Drosophila melanogaster: one gene and its partners. The gene in region 3 interacts genetically with the main gene of each other region. Each region holds a gene or a part of one and is shown on either strand. Other genes may lie near its edges.

Evidence for each region.
Region 1: of sd (region 3) and sli, changing one suppresses a phenotype caused by changing the other (phenotypic suppression), as found in Drosophila melanogaster (one study listed by BioGRID).
Region 2: of sd (region 3) and Ncoa6, changing one enhances a phenotype caused by changing the other (phenotypic enhancement), as found in Drosophila melanogaster (one study listed by BioGRID).
Region 4: of sd (region 3) and osa, changing one enhances a phenotype caused by changing the other (phenotypic enhancement), as found in Drosophila melanogaster (one study listed by BioGRID).

Annotation. Positions count from the first base shown.
Region 1 is NT_033778.4:15,919,114-15,923,768, forward strand, and holds the start of sli (slit), read right to left. Parts: upstream 3,006-4,655; 5' UTR 2,526-3,005; intron 1-2,525. Other genes in the region: bdg (bedraggled), read right to left, coding at 4,070-4,598.
Region 2 is NT_033779.5:5,323,630-5,328,529, forward strand, and holds the start of Ncoa6 (nuclear receptor coactivator 6), read right to left. Parts: upstream 3,055-4,900; 5' UTR 2,338-3,054; coding exon 2,323-2,337; intron 1,281-2,322; coding exon 1,097-1,280; intron 1,035-1,096; coding exon 1-1,034. Other genes in the region: cype (cyclope), read left to right, coding at 3,878-4,047, 4,115-4,178; CG14022 (uncharacterized protein), read right to left, coding at 4,446-4,560, 4,624-4,750.
Region 3 is NC_004354.4:15,813,768-15,818,346, reverse strand, and holds the start of sd (scalloped), read right to left. Parts: upstream 3,049-4,579; 5' UTR 2,617-3,048; intron 197-2,616; exon of another isoform or gene 1-196. UniProt on the Drosophila melanogaster protein: Transcription factor which plays a key role in the Hippo/SWH (Sav/Wts/Hpo) signaling pathway, a signaling pathway that plays a pivotal role in organ size control and tumor suppression by restricting proliferation and promoting apoptosis.
Region 4 is NT_033777.3:17,715,294-17,720,336, forward strand, and holds the start of osa (osa), read right to left. Parts: upstream 3,058-5,043; 5' UTR 2,663-3,057; intron 1,642-2,662; 5' UTR 1,474-1,641; coding exon 559-1,473; intron 1-558. Other genes in the region: Pxt (Peroxinectin-like), read left to right, coding at 4,278-4,443, 4,738-5,043. UniProt on the Drosophila melanogaster protein: Trithorax group (trxG) protein required for embryonic segmentation, development of the notum and wing margin, and photoreceptor differentiation. Required for the activation of genes such as Antp, Ubx and Eve.

The DNA of each region.
Region 1 (4,655 bases), on a different chromosome or scaffold from region 3:
AGACGAGATAAACACAAACAAAACACTTGGCACCCAGCCGGGAAGGGGGCGTGGCTGGGGGCGCAGCCATCGGAGTGTGTAATCAACACTTTTATGTGATCCCCAATCCAATTCACAACTAATTACCAAAGCATCGATGGAATAGGAATAGGAATAGGAATTGGATTTGGATTTGGAATTGGCCTAGGGCATCGCTACATCGGCATGAAAATGTTGAAGGTATGGGGAGGGTTGGGGAATGGCATTTGGATTTCGATTGGGCATGGAAATGGAAATGAAATTGGGTGGCTCTCGCAATTAACGCTGGCATTAAAATCAGCCCAACGATTCCGTTTCCAATTATTTATTACACTTTCTGGTGCCTTTTATGCTGCTGCTTCTGCTGCGCTGTGCAGTTTGTTTAAACAAAATCAATCTAAATCGATTGCGCTACATTTGGAAAATAGAGACGTAAATCAATGGGCAGGCGACGGAGATGGAGGTGGGTCTGACCAGCCAACCAGGGACTACCAGAGATTAAAGGGCCCTCGGCGTGGCGATAACAAAGTGGTTTGTCCGCTGGAAATTAAGGCAAGCTGCGCCAAGTGAAGGTGCCGCGGGCAATGCCACCAAAAGAGGCAAGTACGTGTGCGTACTCTAAGTACATACACTGGAATTTACAGGGTATCGAAAGGTATGTACGATGGAGGAAAGGAATGTTTAACGGCTAATTTATAATCTTTGCTTCTCTAGGTCATAAAAATAAGTAATTAGACCACACGCCATATAAAATATGAATGGCCTTTTAGTATTTTTATAAATATGAAAATACAGGTAAATAGCTAGGCGAAAGAATACCATATATATAAATATCCTTTTGTTAGGACTTCATTTGCGTCACATCACCATCTGTTTAGTAACGTGAAATCCACAAAGGAAATAAGTTCTTAATTTATGCCGCCCCAATAACTTCATACATTACATCCATTAGTAACCAAAAACAAATCCGAATGGATTGACACAAGTCAAGAGTATCGATTAAAATGCTTTTATTGGAGCAAACAACAAAGGTTATTGAAAGTTATAACGGAAAGTTGTCGCGACTTAACTTCTGGCATGTGCACCTTTTATGATAATGTCATTGCGTATATGCCCCCGCCCACACTGTACAGAGGATATCGGTTAGTCGTGACTCCCGATCCCACGCTCCCTCCTCCTCAAGTGTTTATTTACACTTGTCTTATTTCTTGTTTGGAGTCTTTGGCGTGGTATCTTCTTCATTTTTTTGGTTTTTTTTTTTGTTTTAAGTAAGCGATTAGTGGCGGGAGACAATGAAAATTTGTCACTTGACAAGGCAAAAACAAAACGATTTCCATTTGCCCGACGACAAATGAGACATAAGGCAGGCACATAAGTGGATCCCAATTCTGCCCCTTAAATGCCAATGTATTGGAAGTAACAGCCAAATCAACAAAACAATCGTCTTGAGAGGACGTATGTGTGGGATGGAATGGTTCGGGATGGTATCGTATCGTATGGTATGGTATGGTATGGGATGAATCGGAAGCCCGCCCGCACACGCACTCGATGATTGTTATTAGTACATTTGCTGTGGAGTATATCTAATTTGCCATTGATGTGTGCATTAAGTTTGTACTGGGCGGCATACGGCATAGGAATTGTCGTAAAGCATTAGTGTCCCCCGAGATTAGAGCGAATGGAGGAGATAGGCCGAGGTGGAAAGGGGCCATGGCGGAAAAAGGCTGGCTCATCGCCCTTTTATTTGACATTGGGCAATATTTATTGCGAACTCATTTCAATGCTGGCAGAAACTAGGAAGAAAAGCTGACAGCGAAAAATGTACAGTGAAACCAGAATACCCTGGGCTCAGAAAATGTTACTATAAATACTAATGGGAAACCAAAGATGTTGTGGTTCTAATTGATGACATAATAAGATTATGTACATGAACTTATATATTTTTCAATTAGCAATTTGAAGGGGACTTTATACATTTAAAAATCAAATCACCTACGTAAGTGTAATATTTTTCATGTGACTGAGGCACACGATAGTTCCTTCTAGCCAGATGCGACTGTAGAAGGATAGCGCAGGCGACAGGATACGCAATACGAACAAAGCGGAATGGCAAAATACGCCATCAAAATAAATAAAAACAGGAGAAAACAGAACTGAGCGAAGGCGAAAACAAATTCGGTAGCACAGCATTCGGGGCTTTGGGCGGGAAAGAGATAGAACGAGGGGAGGGTTATACGTTACACTTCAACGTTACCGTTACGTCCCACCCAAAATGTAATGAAATCCTTTGTGTGCGTGTGCTTACGTGTCGGTGCGTGTATGTGTGTGTGTGTACGTTTTTGTTTGTCAACTTTGGCGAGGCGGGACATAAAAATGCTAATACAAAACACTAGAGCAAATTGCAGCAAAATAAGTTGTGAGTGGCGGCGGTGGAGGTGTGTGAGTGGCGAGCGAACTTGGCACCAGCTAACTAACTTTGCACGCAGGATTATCGCAAGGACACTTACCGTTTTAATCAGGCGAAAACACCGCTAATCCAATCGTAATCGTAACACCCACACAGACAAAGAAACAAAACACTAACACAACAAAGACACTAATTTTCGGCACTTTGCAGACGGAATTTAAATTCGACTTTTGCGCTTTTCTGCTGCTGCGATTTGTGCTTCAATTCGATTCGATGCGATTCGCGCAGACAAACGAAATTCAGGAATTTCAAGTGGAAATCTCGTTTGAGCACTTTTCGACCTGCGACTTACGAAGACGGCGCGGCAGAAAACTTTGGCCTTAACTTGGCTTTAAAATGGCCGTGCAAATGTGGATTGGCTAAGAACGCGCGACTTCAATTGCCAATGCACACTTTATGGTTTTTGCTTAAGTTTGGCAATTGCAAATTCTTTGCTCACCGGAATCTTCACTCTTGGTTTATACTATAATTCTTTTTGGACGCTCTACGCGACGCGATTGAAAGTGATGCGTGCGTCTGACCGCTCTCGTCGCCGTTCGAATTTTTTATGTTTCTGTTTCGCTGCCGAGCAGTGTTACCAGATGCAGGAGTAACCTCACCCGGCAAGAAGGGCCTAAAAAATACCGCGTTCGCCAACAGTTTAAAAGTTTCTTGTTCCAACTTAAATTTCAAATATTATGGTTAATAAGGGTCCAAAAACTCGTTCATTATTAAAGTGTTGATAATATTTTCATGAAAATATATATTTATTTAAAACTTTATAACTATCATCCCAAATTATAGAGTAGTTGTACTACACACATTGGCTTGTATAAGAACCCTTATCACTTGCTTTTATATAGGTCTCAATTGTTATTTATGTATTTCTAGCATTAAAATTACTAATTATAAGTAAAAATAACGGTATCAATTATTGTGTGAACTTCACAAAAGTTCTAGCCGAGACTCAACCCATTTGAACTGGTTCTTTGAACCAGCGCTGCCAGATATTAAAATAATAACCGCCAATTCGTGCTGATTTAAAAATTCCGCGGATTAACTTTTTTGCAGGCCAATCCCTTTGGAATATGCAAGTCACAAAGAAAACAAAAGAAATGGCGTGACATTTTAATCGAAATATGCAGCAACTTCCTGGCCCGCCTCATTAGGCGCCTTTGTTGGCTACGCCATCCTGGACTTCCGTTTATTTTCACTTTTTTTATTCAACTGGTCACGTTTGTTAATCGGCTTAGGGCCCAAGTACGTATTCCCTTAAATAGCTGACCCTCGAGAGCTGGGCACGTAGGAGGCCTACTCCATTGTTGGGATAATTTTAAGGGCAACTGTGCAGACAGGCGCGATCCGTAAGCCTAAAATATATGTGAAATGGAATTAAATGGGGTGGGTTGGATCGAACTGGGAATACCGGTTGTAGGGATCAAAAGAGCTCACACTTGGGAGTACCAACTAGTTGTTTTCGTTATTATTCGCATAACTACAAGGTAATATTCGTATTTAGATAACTAGCGCTAATCAAGTCTAAGAAAGCAAGCGGATATGTGGATCGCATAAGAGTTACGCTATGTACGGTACGATATTAGTCAGTTAAATCACAGATGTATTATTTCGCGCGCACTCCTCCGCCTGTCCAGCCTCCAATTCGAGCTCCAGCTCCACACCGGGCGTTCTGTCCGGTGGCTCGGCATTCAGCACAAGATTCTCTATGGATCGGAATGAGGCGTCCTCCAAGTGCGTGGACATGGCGGCGGTTGGGGGGCGAGGCAGGGTGCTGGCAGTGACCAAATTTCCGCCTCCCTGCGACTGGCGATGTCGCACCGAGGAGCGCAGTATGGTCACCACATCCTCCGCCGTATAGGGCCGCCTCTCCAGTGTCGAAGCACCCGAACGATGCAGTTTCCTGCCCAACGATTGCGAGCGTTGGGAGTAGCCAACGGGTCGCTGGTCGATCTCTATGGACTCGGGACTGCTGCTGGAAGCTGGCGAAGGATCCGCGTTGAAACTACTGCCAGCCGGATTGGTCAGTATGGTTAGGTAATCAGGCGGCGCCGCTGGCGAAGCAGACTCCGCATCGAGGGAGAGCACGGGTCGCGTTCGACTTGAGTCTCCGAGAACCCTGTGTCGATAAATTGGTCGTAAATAACTTTTTGTTTATATTAAGGGATGGTTTTTA
Region 2 (4,900 bases), on a different chromosome or scaffold from region 3:
CAGGTTCCGCATCACCACGGGCGGCGGGCAAGGAGGAGCCGCCGCCTGGGGCGTTGTGGGTGAGGAAGGCACCACCGGACTCAGTACGTCGCCCATAAGAAAATCGCTTGGCGTCGCCGGGCCGGAGGATCGCATAGGGGAGTTCATCATCTGCGCTCCACTGGGGCTCATACCAATCAGCGGTGACTGCTGCTGCTGCTGTTGGGGCGACTTGAGCTGGTTCGGATTCGACATGCCATTGCCGTCGTTCTGCAGCAGATTCACAAGCAGCGGCGACGATATGGCAATGTTGTTGCTGCCCGTCGAAGTCGCCGTAGGCAGCGGCGGATGCCCAAGCGGATGGTTAAGCTGGCTGGGTGCCGTCACAATGGCTGGCTTGGCACTAACGCCCGCTATGGCAATGGGTGAACTGACGCTGCTGGCCGTTGCAGCTCCCAAACCCGGATATGGCGGCGGTGGTGGCTGGATGAACTGAGATTTGCTGCCCGGCGGCGTTGGAGCAGCTGACGTTGGCGTTGTGGGTGTCAGTTCGCCATTCTGAGGTGCCTGCTGCTGTTGCGTCTTCAGCACCTTTAGAGTTACATTTGGCGGAGGAGGTGGCGGTAGGGGCGGACCCAGACCGCCCGCCTCTCGACCTTGCAGTACTCTCGCCTGCCGCATGCTCTCGAAGGGAAAGTCGCGCGTGGCGGACGGTGATGGCAGCAGCAACGGCACCTTGCCCTCCATGGGACATACAGTATTGGGGGATTTAAAGACGGCGGGTGTCACGGCCACCTGCTGCTGCTGCTGTTGTTGCTGCTGCTGCTGCGTGGTGTGGAGGGGCATCTTCTGAAGTCCCAGGCCCGCCGCCGCTGCTCTTCTTTGCTGGAGTGAGATTGCATCGTTTTGGGGCTGTTGCAGGATTCGCTGCTGCTGCTGTTGCATAAAGGCGGATGCCGCCTTGCTCGTACTGGGGCCATCGAATCCCGTGGCCAGCAGACCACTCTTGTTGCCGGAAAGCGAGCCAGCCGCCTCAAGTGTCTCGTTTACATTATCTGCGGGTAGGGATTACTCAGGTTAATTGCTCGTTTAGTGGACATTTGTTGCCATTACTCACCCTTGGTTATCTTAATATCTTGTCCACCAACTTTCAAATTTATCACAGAATCGCCCTCGAATTGCACTGACTGAATGTTGAGGGCGCGCAGCTCCGGATTTCCATCGTTGGCCAGCTGGCGCAGCCGTTGTGCTGCGTCCCAGGGTAGCGAGACCAATATCCGCACCAGTGACGGTTCAAGCTGCTGCAAAGTGGCACACATGTGAGACATTTTGCAAATTTACAACATTTAATTAACATTTAAGGAGCCGTATAGGAAGAGAAAGAAGAAGAGGGATAGTGAAATTGCTGGCGATGGCCACTATTTTGTTATCGATATCTATGCAGCGAGAGTTTGCAGCCCTGGTTTACGACACGCAAACATAGAAACGCCTAATTTATGGCCAAACACAATTCCAAACCTTAATTATTTAACTTATAATTTACCTTCACTAGATCTGCCATACTTGAATCTAATTATTTTTATATATTGCATATGTTATTTGCATTTCTCGTTTTGTTTTTGACCCTGCGGTCTCTGGCGCTAGAGCAGGATGGCCATAGGGCACTCGTTGGAAATTCCAACAACAATTTGTTTCGACAACAGTCCCCAAAGATAATGCGCTTGAATTGAGTAACCCAAAAGACAATTCAGCTGACTGCATTTTCCACGCGCGGCATGCCAAAAGGGGGCGGAGCGGGTCGGGGCAGCTGGTGCCCACAGGTTGCATTTTCTCATGCGTGCGTGCGTTTTCCTTTTCTCTCTGCGGGACGTGTTATCGATACCCCGACGTCGTCGCCATTTTTCTTCTTGGCCTCTTGGAAGGCGGTGCGCCGGTGTGCGTGCTTGCTCGTGTACGTGTGCTGGTTGGGCAAGTGTGTGTGTGTGGCAGAGGGAAAAGGTAACCAAAATACTTGCTTGGCACTAAGGCGGGGGGTAAAAAGGGGGCGGGCTGATTAATAAAATAAAAAAGGGGGAACCGAAAAAGAGAGATGAAAAAATAAACACGGGAAATGCGAGATTCTATACACTCGAAGCCAACCAATTAGTTCACCCTTTTCGCCGCCTATTGTTTTTGTTTTTATACCCGTCTCTGAGTGCGTGGGTGACGCAAGTGTAAAATGAGCAAAAGCGATGGCAAAAACAGACAAGAAAAGGGGGGAAAAAGAAGCCCACTTGAAGTGCAATAATCGCAAATCAGCTGTTCCGTTGCGCTCCACCAAAAAGCGAAACACGATAAACTCACCTGTTTAAGTGGCATATCATCACACGACAATCGCACGCGTCGTAGGTTTAATTGTTAGAACGCTGCTCAATTCTCGCATTTAGCTTTCGATTGACCGCCGTGGCGTCCTTTGGATTGAAATTGTTGGACCAATTGCATTATAGGCTTGACACTCGATGGCTTCGGTTTATTGTCTTTCGATGTAATCCGCACTCAGTTTTTAACCTCTGCGACTTGGGTTTTTGGGCATTTTCCACTATTATTTTTTTCTCTTCTCCCCTTTTGCTTTTTACTTTTTTTTTTAGTAGTAGCCTCACCAACACACACACTCACATGCACTGCAACACACACACTCACACACACACACGTGCGGGGCGCGGATACGGATTTTCCTGCGTCACTTTTCAAGCGCTTTTCCTGCTGGAAATCTTGCGTGCCCGCTTTTCAATTGTTGTTTAGGGCAAACTGAATACGTTTGGGCCCCCACTGTTCTCCATTTCACAATCGCTGGCCAAATAGTAATGCCTGTTTAGCGGAACTCGAAAATTTTCACGCATTCGGGCAGCCGATTTTCGGGGGCTTAATTTCACACGGTTCGATTGCGTGCGGGCACTTGATAAACGCACTGATTGCTGTCGAAAGATTCGCGCTTGTTTTTCAACCATCAATTGGCGTTGCAACGATGCGTTTATCCTGTTTATTTTGTACAAAAAACTTCGTAATTATTAAATTTCCACGAACAATAACAAGCACACAGTGGTAGCCATTTTTATTTTCCAGCCGGTGTTGCCAGACGTCCGCGGCCCGAAATTCCCTAAATTTCCCGACATATTTGTGGTTACCAGGGCTGCGAAGTAGCCTGTATTGGAAATTTGGCTCGAGCAGAGTTGTCAATTGTTTGGAAATTGTAATTTTATTTAATTAGTGCTAATAAATTTATAAATAAATTGTATTGCTATATTGTCTTTTATTTTTAAACATGTTTAGCAATCATAAATATAATGGTAACATAATTTGAACATGTTCAATATATAAATTTCATTCACAAATATTTTTCCTGCTTTAAACTATTGATTTTAGCTGGCCTCATAGCTTCCAGATGAAAAATTTGAAAAGTTATTACTTAACACACTTTTCTCTTAATTCTGCGTATTTAGCCTCAAAATCATTTTATTATTAAATGAAATGATTCTGTCAAATTGTCTAGGAGTGCTTTTTAATATATATTTTTATTATTTATTTTCCAAAGATCAATCGATAATTTCGCGAATGCTGCCACCTTCTTCGAATAAACGATAGTATTGAATAGAATTTGTTTTAGGTTCCATCTCTATCTCAGATTCTGAATTTGCAAATGTGAGTACATAACAAGGTTTTTCTTTAAAAAACACGGTTCAAGGGGTTTTGGAACTTAAAAAAAGTAATTAAATATCATACCAGTTGGCCATATCAACTCCATAAATTTCTGGGGAGAATTCATTAGTTGCTATGCGTTTAATGGCAGCTGCCTTTGAGCACCTTACGTAACTACCGAGCAATATAATTGATTTTTGTGATTTTCATTCTTTTCAGCGACATGGCCAACACTCCAGCCACCTCCTCTGCCGGACCCGTGCTCCGTGGCCTCCACAATGCCACCATCAAGCGCAACCTGGCCGTTTCCCTGGGCCTGACCGCCGTGGTGACCATCGCCTACAAAATTCTGGTCAACGATCCCAAGAAGGCCGCCTACGCCGACTTCTACTCGTAAATATAGCTTAACTATGCCACATGAATGTCATCATCTGATCTGTTTTATCCATTATCCCTGCAGGAAGTACGATGCCAACAAGTCCTTCGAGCGCATGAAGGCCGCCGGTCGTTTCCAGTCCTGCTAGGCTATGTTATCCCAAAACACAAGTAGTCTAAGTCAAATGATGTTGTAGAACAAGAGTTGCGCTTCTGTATTGAAAACTAAATAGATTTCAGTCTACGTACGTGCACGAAGGCGTTTTAATTTAGAGCTATCTTGTATTGCCAGCAAAAGTAAATGTGAAGGCAAATTATGATTAAATTCTTTATTATTTACTCGTATTTACAAACTTAGCCAAGTAATGCACAAAACAAACACACAAAACTATAAGGCCACACAAACCGGACCACATCTAAAACCTAATGGCAAAGTCCTTGTAGTCCAGTCGGCTGAGATTGCCCTGGTTCCGGACCTCACAGCGATCGATTTGGCAGCCGGGTGAGCCCTCAGTGGACAGCCAGGTGATCCTAAGAGTAGATTTAATCAGAAAATATTAGCATGGAGAGTGTAAACTATTCCGGTTTACTCACATCTTGTCCACCTCCTCCTTGGGCCCCTGCATCTTGCCCACAATGGTGCCCTGTTTGCTGTTCTTCACCCAGCCAGTGATTCCCGCCTTGGTGCAGCGATCGCGGGTGTCTTTCGTGAGATTCAGGCCTGCCGGTCGAAAAAAGCAATGGTATATGTTTTATATAGTCTCTAGTGCATGTGGAATGGGGCGTGAAACAAAGCCAAGGACAGTTTGGGGCCCCAAAGTAACTAGCTACTGAGGGTTTATTTTTAGGCAACCATTCGAGAGAGCTATGC
Region 3 (4,579 bases):
CACACGTACGAGTCTATATACATATCTATCGAATCATTATAATTTCAATTATTTTGTAATTTATTTTTGTTTTGTATTCGCCTTGCTTCTTCCACACAGCGTGAAAAAAAAAAAAAACAATCCCGGACGGCAGCGGCAAAGAAACAAAAACTAAAATGCGTCTGGTTAAGAGAAACGCGCACGTCAAACTGAAATGTGCCGTATAGTTTCCACATATTTCTATTCTTTGTTTTGGCCGGTTCCTTTTCTGCCCCTGGTGTTTCGCCCATATAAACCTATAGGGATGGTTGCTCTAGGCATTCGTATTCGTGAGACAGCGGATAGAATGCAGTGTGGCACATACCCTCGCAGCGTACTATTGATAGAATAAAATAGAATGGAAGTAGAAGCCTTCAAATAGCCAGCCTGCAGTGTGGGGCGTCAAGTGAGAGTCTGGGTCAGCAGGGGTATGATATGGTATGGTATGGTATAGTATGGTATGGCATGGTATGGTATGGTATAGTCTATAGTCTAGCATAGGTAAAGGTGTGCTACGGAACTTCAGACAGGGGGCGAGTCAACACTATCAAGGATCAGAGGCATGGTATGCTATGGTATCCATATATGATATGATAAGGAATAGAATGTTATAGTGTAAGGTATGGAATATATGGTATAATAGGCAATAGTAGTTTGTAGTCAGCTATGTAGCTTGCAATGGTAGTTAGTAGAGTAAATAATGGTATAGTACTGCATAGTTAATCTGCTATATTAAGAAGAAACTGGACTTAGTTCAGTTTAATAAAGTATGGTATAGATGGGTGTAGTTAATAATAGAATGGCGTCGTATGGAAGCAGTTCGCCAGTATCCAGGACAAGTCGGGACAGTTCGATCCCAGTTCTATCCTAGGCACAATACCAGAATTTCCCGAAACGGAAACGACTGTATGTTTGGCTATCAAAAAAGTAGAATGCATATTGCACAGCTTGGAAATGCATGGCGCAGTGCAGGGGTTGGGATCGTTTTAGGGGGTGAATGTGCCATTTTTCATAATCTCGTAAGCACTCCACGCACACAAACACACACACACACACACACACACTCACACACAAAAGGACGAAAAGGAGTGTAATGAAACGGACAAAATAGCTGAACCGTGCATTAATATTATCACATGGCATTTCAGAATTTCTGAATTCAAACAGCAGCGGTTCAGTTCGGGATAATTTCCAATTAGAAAAACTAGAAACAGACTTTCCTACGCTTGAACTCAATTTCCGCCTCGAAAACTCAACACGCAGCTGCTCGTTCTGTTCAGTTCTGTTCGGTTTTAATAAGGGAATGTGTGTTCTTTTTCCTGCCTTTTCCATTCCTACCCTTAGAAGCCGCAATTTTGTTGTGCGGCAATTGGAATTTATGGTATGCATTCTGCTTTTTCATTTTCTTTATGTATGCCCCGTCGCATACACATACATAATGTACATACATATATATATATCCGCTTATACATACATATACATACATACATATATAAACGAAGAATGTGCCTGGATGGGATGGTAAGGAGCTCGATGATGACGTACTTAGCGCACTCAGGATCAAAGTTGGGATCCGCAATCCCTACACAGCCAAACGCACTTTGACTTTCAGCAGAAAACCGTAACAGGTAAAAATTATTGTTCGTATCTTTTTAGTGACAAATAATATAAAAGGACAGTGCAATGCATTATCAAATTATTGACAATATGTTTAGTATAGCATATATATCCTATATTCGTGTGAAGGTGCTATCAAAAGGATAATCTTTTGGTTACATAAAATACAGATCAATACACATGATGTAGAGATCATTTTTTAGGTCTTCAAATTATTCCCAAGTCAATAGAGTTTTATAGGAAATTAAGGTGGCGATTCTAACCCTATAAAGTGTACAAATATATTTTCAATCAGCATAACGATCTGTAAAAAATTTTAATTATTCACAATTGCACTATAGAACTTAAACTGTCTTAAGCGAAACACTGTACACGTATTAATTCATTGATTATTCATAGGGCATATAGAGTTCGGTGCGCTGCCCTTTCATTATTTCAACCCCTAAAGCAACGCACTCCCATTTTCTGCTGCCGAAAATCTTTAGAAGTCAGCACAAACGAATTTGCAACCTGGCAAAGGTTAAAAAGGAATTTCTGTGAGGTGCAACGACAAAATAATTAATAATAAATCTTTTGTCCTCTTAGCTTTTAATGAAATTATGTGAGGTAATGTTAATAATGAACATAAAGGAATAATGAAATTACGAAATACTTTTCTAAGAGCAAGTGTTTAAGAACAGGCAGCTAGAAAATAGACAACAAATGTGCGAAGGAAGTGAAAACTAGAATGGTTCATTAGATATATTTACGATTTTGATCGGATATAGGATATTTTAAGCTAAAACAGGTGACTAAACTTTAAATTTTCCGAAAGCCTTTTGAAGTTTATATAGTTCAAATATTGTTGGAAAATTACGTACGTTTAACTTAACATAGGAAATTTAAGGCAGAAAACCATAATTGTGTAAAGAACTCATAATTTGCTAAAAGTTCTTCAAATTTATCATTCATTGATATGCTGGAAATTGAGTAAGTACTTACTTATTGAGTAAGTAACGCAGCAGTCATAAGAACGATCGGTCAACTAAATGGGCTGAGCTTGCTGTTTTTTTTTTTAAGTAACTGCGATTAACTTTATCACAATCGGATATGTTTTCGTTGCTCTTAAAGATATTCGCCAATGACTCATGACATACTCATTCCGTAGGCTACAGAAGCCCATAGCTGTGATAGCAACTGGTCATATACCAACGTGAGTAATACATTTTGGTTGTAACTCGTAGAGTATATGGTGTTCGGCTTGTCCAAGTTGACTTTTTCATTGTTTTCACTTCATTTTCTTTTATCACTTATCAATAGTTGCGTTGTTTGCAGAAAGGTATTACGATATTATTGTAAATATACACAGCTCATTTAGAAAATTCATTTCGTAGAATGCGATTCAGAAGTAAAAATAGTAAGTGAATTATTGTAGTTTTGCTTGAAAGTTTTTGTTTAAAACCGACAAGTTGCGAACAAGTGTTGTGGCAAACAATGCCCACAAGTATACCAAATCTTTTTCAGGTTTTTTTTTTTAATGATTCCAATAGGACATTCAGCTATTCGATTAGTCTTCGTTGCTCACTATTGCCAGTAAAGTAATAAAAATAAAAGTATATGTCCATATGTACATATATCTTTTCATAATGTGTATCTATGTATATGTGAACAGCAGACAAGTTGATGGCTCTTAAACTGAGGTAATAAATATATCGTAAAACAGCAGATCGCGTGGACATGTCAACATATTTCGCCAAAATCCAGATCGACAAAATCCGTATGTATATGATTTTTTTGTGCTGCGAATTGTCTCCCACACTGCATTTACAAGCTTCTGGCCAAAAATAAGATTATGCAATGCTGTGCAAAATGAACAACACATGCGAGAAAAGCTCTTTTCGAAATCCGCTCGGTTGGCAAAATATTTTCGAGCTAACCCCCCCCCCCCCCCCCATTCATCTTATAAGAACCACTGTGTTATCTTAAACCTGACTAATCCATTGAATTATTCATCTTGGCAATCGAAAGTTGGTGGCAGCTTGCCCTCTCTTTTCGGATTTAGAACGCTTAGATTTAGATTTGGGTATGTATGTATGTATGTATGTATGTATGTATGGTTTACATGTACGATATGTATGAGATATGTGCAGATGGGTGGAGAGTTTACTCTATAGCGATGGAGAGAAGGTGCCCTGCAGTTCAGGTCTCCGTTTTCGGGTGACTTTCTCAAATGAAAACCCGCCATGCATGTGCATGTGCTTTGCATTGAGAACCCACGAGGAAAGTCACCAAAGAAAAACCAGAGATCGACAAACTTTTGGGCGCTGGATGTGGAGTGGGTGTGTGGGGTGGGGGTGGAGTTGTAGGTTTATGGCATAGAGTTTGGATTTACGAGGTGTGTCTTTGTATGACTGGGTAATTCGGATGGGCAACGGACCTGCCTGTTGTTCTGTCTTCTCGGCAACTTCCAACTCGCTGCAGCTCAGGTTGTTCTGCAATTGCAGCAGCCCAGTGCTGCAAGTGCTCGAGCTGGTGATGTTTTTCATGCAGCCAGCTTTTTTTTCGTAGATTTCCTTTAGGTTTCGCTATTCACGAGTATGCCCGCCCGGAGGAATAGGAATACGACTTCGAGTACGAGAACGAGTACGGAACGAGTGCGGTACGAGTACGGTGCGTTGTCCACTTAGTTTACGGAATTAAAAGAAATCTGTTCGCGCTAGATTTAGACTCTGATGTCACCGTCTCCACCAACAACATCAAACGTTGTTGTCGTCTCCGGCTGGTCAAAGGCAAGGCACTCACTCTTGTTATTATTATTAGCTTGTAACAGTAACTGTTTTTCAGCTTTTCAGTTTTTCAGGCTCTGCGCTGGGCGTGTTATTATCTATGTCGTTGATAACACGATGGAGCGGTTTGTTAATTTATATTATACATGTGTACAAGTTATGGCAGCGTCTTTGAACGG
Region 4 (5,043 bases), on a different chromosome or scaffold from region 3:
CACAATGACACCATTTCTGGTGCAACAACTAGATCATTTAATATTCTTTTCGGAAAATGGTTATTTTGTTACAGAATACACAACATTTATTGTGTCCTTTTCATTAAGTTTCTATCCTGGAAGGCGTTTAAGCTACCATCCAGTTTTTCGTTACTTTAAAGCCGAAGGTTGCCCCCGCAATATTGAGAATAAATATGAAATAAGATACTATAACTTGAAAAGACAACCGCATTTTCTATTTTCGGAAGCTGTGAATTAAAACGAATCATAAAAACACTGCTTTTGGTAAATACTTCAAGGCATTCCTAAACAACGTATTACACCGGAACAAAGTATTTACAACTATTTCAAGTTCGGAGACTATTTAAGCCGAATACTCTTGACTTTTAGATGTATCTTCCACAATATCTTGTATCTACAGAACTTTCAAACATTTTTATGGACTTGCAATGATTTCTCGTGAACGCAACTAAATATACCTTTCAATTTACAACTTTTCTATCCCAAAAAAGCATGTTATCCTTGTTATCCCCAAATATCCCCTTTTTGATCACTTACCGGTGGTGGTGTCCTGTACTGCTGTGACGGTCCCAGTTGCGGACTGTAGGGCCTTGGTGGCGGTGCCCAGCCGCCCTGTTGCCCTCCGTACGGCGATGGCTGGTGCTGCGGTGGCGGCGGTCCATGTCCTGGTGGAGGGGGTCCACCGGCCTGCTGTTGCTGAGCCGCCGCTGCCGCTGCCGCCGAAGCGGCCGCCTGCTGGGGATCGTAGGTGTTGGCGTAGCGATGCTGCGGCGGAGGCGGCGGATTCGAGGACTGAAGCAGAGAGTTTAACGTTGGCGTGGGTCCCTGCGGAGGCTGACCGGGTATGTAGCGCTGCTGGGGCGGACGATTAGGTGAGCCACCGGGCCCCGGTTGCTGCGGGGGTTGCTGTTGAGGATGTGGCTGTTGTTGTTGTGGAGGCTTTCCACCTGGCAGCGGCTGGCCATAGCGATATGGATCCATGTTGGGATCGGCGTGGTAGCGACCATACGCCGGATGTGGATGAGGCGGCGGCAAGTGAGTGTACTCCTCCTTGACACCGGGCGCATGCTCAGGTGCTCCTCCGGGCGGTGGTGGTGCAGGTCCGCCGTGGTGCTGCTGTTGCTGCATATGGGGTGGTGGCGGATGCTGCTGTTGCTGCTGGTGCAGATGATGATAGTGCATGACTGCAGCTGGGTCCGGTCCTGGTGGTCCTCCAGGACCAGATCCTGGGGGCGGTGGTGCGCCGTATGGATGTGGGGCAACATTTTGTTGTTGCTGCTGGATGCTGGGATCGCTACCGTTGTTGCTGTTGTTGTTGGGTGTGGGCGGGCCCGAGGTTGGCGGTGTAGCGGCACCAGGAGCCGCTCCAGCCGATGGGGGCGTGGCAGCAGGGGCGGGAGCGCCACCTTGCTGCTGCTGCTGTGTTTGCGGCGACTTTATTTTCTCATTCATGGCTGCTCATCGGCTTCTGGCTGCGCTGCTCCCGATCTCCCAGATTTTCCGGATCGGATTTTCCCAGATGTGTGGCGGCTACTGATGGAACACCGGTAACCACCAACAACAACAACGCTGACGCTGATGATGACGACGACTGCAGCGGCGAGTTTGAGGTTATGTTAGCTGCAAGTTATCAAAAACGGGGGATTAGCATTTGGCAAAGGGGGTCTGGCTTATTAAAGGGGGCAGTCCTATATCACTGGGCCTAAATCGAGCGGGTTAAACATAAATAATTTGTACTCGTTCGTGGGCTGTTGTGTATTGAAAAGTCCGCTACTAACACACGCACACACATGCTCACTCGAACAGGCAGCACCAATACCACAACAATTTATTTTCCGCCGCGTACGGTGGGCAAATCGTAGTGCGTTGACAACCCTGCCGCAACCGCTCTCGCAGTTTGAGCGCATCCACTCTCGTTGGCGCTCTCGCTCTCTCTTTTCACATTTGGCGGCTATACACGCACACGCCGTATCCCTTTCCGTCTCACTTGCACTTGCTCGCCATCCAGGCTGAAGGCATATGGCGCTCTCGCTCGCTCGCTCACTCTCTCCCTTGCTCGCTTTATTAGTTTCTGTGTGAAACGAATGAAACGGGCAGCACAGTAATGATTTTTTCGTAATTATTTTCTATGCCGATTTTTCGCGTTTACACAGCACTGGAATGGAATGGACGAGGGGGCATCATCTCACAATTGTTTAACTTATTTTCTTTTCGTGAGTGGGAGAGAGAGGGGGGCTAACGCTTAAGATTTATAAATAATTGCCGCGCCTGCTTGGCCGCGTTTGTTGCGCGTTCACTTTTGGCCGCTGCCGTTGTCTTGAGAGGCTCTCTTTTTTTGTTCGGCTGCTTGCGTTTTCCTGCGGTTTTTCGCCAAGTGTTTATGAAGATGATGATGATGCAAGGATTCGACATCCAATCATTTGCATATGTATACACACACGCACTCACTCGCACACACACTCACACAGCCTCCAAAGTGCATCGTCGAGAGGAGAGAAACTGAATTTTTCACTCGCCCTCGGGCGAAAGTCCGGCGGCAGATTTGTTGTTGGGCCAAGAAGACTCAATATATATTTTGCGGGGCGCTTTGGTTTTTGGGGCTTTTCTTAACCAGAAATCTACATACACGCACACCACTTACACATAGAAGAATATTCACGCATTGACGACCGTCCACAGACTGGCTATATATACTAAAAACGAACTCGCGTGAGAAGACAGGGACAGGGCAGCAAACTCGGTATACGAACGGAACGAAATGAAACGATTCAAGTAGTAGTGTATGCAAGTCTTGTCTGTCTGCGCCTGGCGTTCTTTTCTCTTCTTTTTTTCGATGGTTTTTCGCCAGGCTGGGCGCTGCCAAAACGCTGATACGGCGGCCACAATCACACGCGGCTAATCGCCAGTTGGGCCCTGCACAGGCTGCACATACTTTTCACTATTAATGCGCTGTATTTCACTTATTTTTCGAACAAATTCGCAGCATGACGAAGAAGCGAGCCTGTACAAGATTAGAGCGGGTAGCACGCACGATAGTATCGATACGTACGAGTATTTGGCACTGCGATACATTATCGGTGCTCGTTTCGATAGCCCCCGATAGCTCTAGCACGAAATTTTATCGCTTTATCCATATTTTATACTATTTTTATTTATTGGACTTCAATGAATATTTATTTTACGTTCTGGTTCGCTTTTTAAATATATATGGTAATCAATAGCTGGCGAATTAGCGATATTTGAGTGTGACGCAAAAATGAGTTGGCATCGATATCGATTTCTCGCTACTCTGGGACGCCATCTTTATTGCGGTATTTTAAACGGAAACTTAACTCAAATTAAACGGCGTGCTAAAATTTTCCATTTTTTTCGAATAAAAGCACGTAAAAGTTTGTGAAGATGTAAAAGTTATAAAAACTAGAAAGCCTTATTCGTGGCCAGCGCTTTCGTTTTAGAAATACGTCAATTTAAAGTTTTTAAGGTAAATTGCAAAATTGCAATAATTGCAATAATATAATAATAATAAAATTTTGGTAAGTTATAAGAGAGTAAATACAATTTTGAAAGTTTATACCCCCGTTAACAAACCACTTGAATTTAGAGTGGCAGAACTATGCAACTACAGCGAGTTTAAACATCGATATATTCGTGATTTTTGGTTTGCTTATTATCGATTCCATACAAAACTACCGGCATAAGCAATTTTAAAATAGACGTAAACAACATCAACGTAATTAATCCACAAAAACAAATTCTTTTATTAATTTTAATTGATGCAATACATTTTAATTTTTGTGAAACTCTAAATATCAATAGTCGCCCTATGCATTGATCATTGTCACAAACATTGTTAAAATTTATTAAATTTATTTTGGTAGAACACTAGGTTTTCGATTTACTGGCTTCCGGATTTTTACTCATAGGTTTTAAAAATATTTTTTGCCAAGGATATCAACTAAAAAAATATTTGTTTATTTTTTTATAATATTAATGAAATTCTATATTGAACATTTTTATTTTTTGAACTGCTTGCACAATTTGCTAATAAGAGAAGTTGCGCTTAACAGTAAAATGTTACTGACATTAACAGCACACGTACGAGAATTACAGTACACTGCTTTCGACTTGCTGTGATATCGAGCATTCCTGGTATCGAGTGCAAAATGGCGGCATTTTAAGTTCAATTTAACACGATTAGGTTGAGCTTGTCGATTCTTTTTTAAGTATAAGCCAACAAATGTTTCATTAAACGCATAATGAGTCGCATTTTATTTATTTTGTTGCTACTTATTGTGACGCAACTGAGCGAGTTGCAGGCGGCAGCATTTTCTGTGCGCCAAAATCGTTTTGATGAAGTTCCTGATTTGCAGACTCCTGCACCTCTGGCCACTTCCACTGAATCTTCTAAGAAACCCGAAAAAGGTTGGTTACATATGTACGTTTAGTGATATAAATTGAATATCTCGGCAATTTCAAAATGGCGTAAAGGGTGAAAGTGTTCTTGTCCGCTCTCTGTGAATATAAGTTACGGTTAATCGCTCTACACTGAAAACAACTGCATAAAAAACTTTCATATTTACATAATTAACAAAATCAAATTTTTGTAAAATTAAATACAATATAATATAAAAGTATAATTGTTTCTTCAATTTTAAAATTATATTTTTATGGTTATTTTTATTTCGTAAATTGTACAAATTTGGTCTTTCTGTGTAGCTACCAGTGGTCTGCTGAAAAAATGCCTTCCCTGCAGCGATGGTATAAGATGCGTGCCCCAAATCCAGTGTCCCGCCCACGTTCGCATGGAAAGCCATGAAAAGCCCCAAATTTGCGATCTCCCGGCTGGAAAATTCGGCTACTGCTGCGAGACTGGACAGAATCACACTGCTCCCAAGCCGGAGACCTCTCCCAAGGAGCGTCGATCCGGATTTCCCACCATTCTGTCACCCGCAGTTTTGGATGAGGCGCGTCGCAATTTCGAGCACTTGATGCATGGAGTTGCGCAGATTCCGGTGCGCCGTG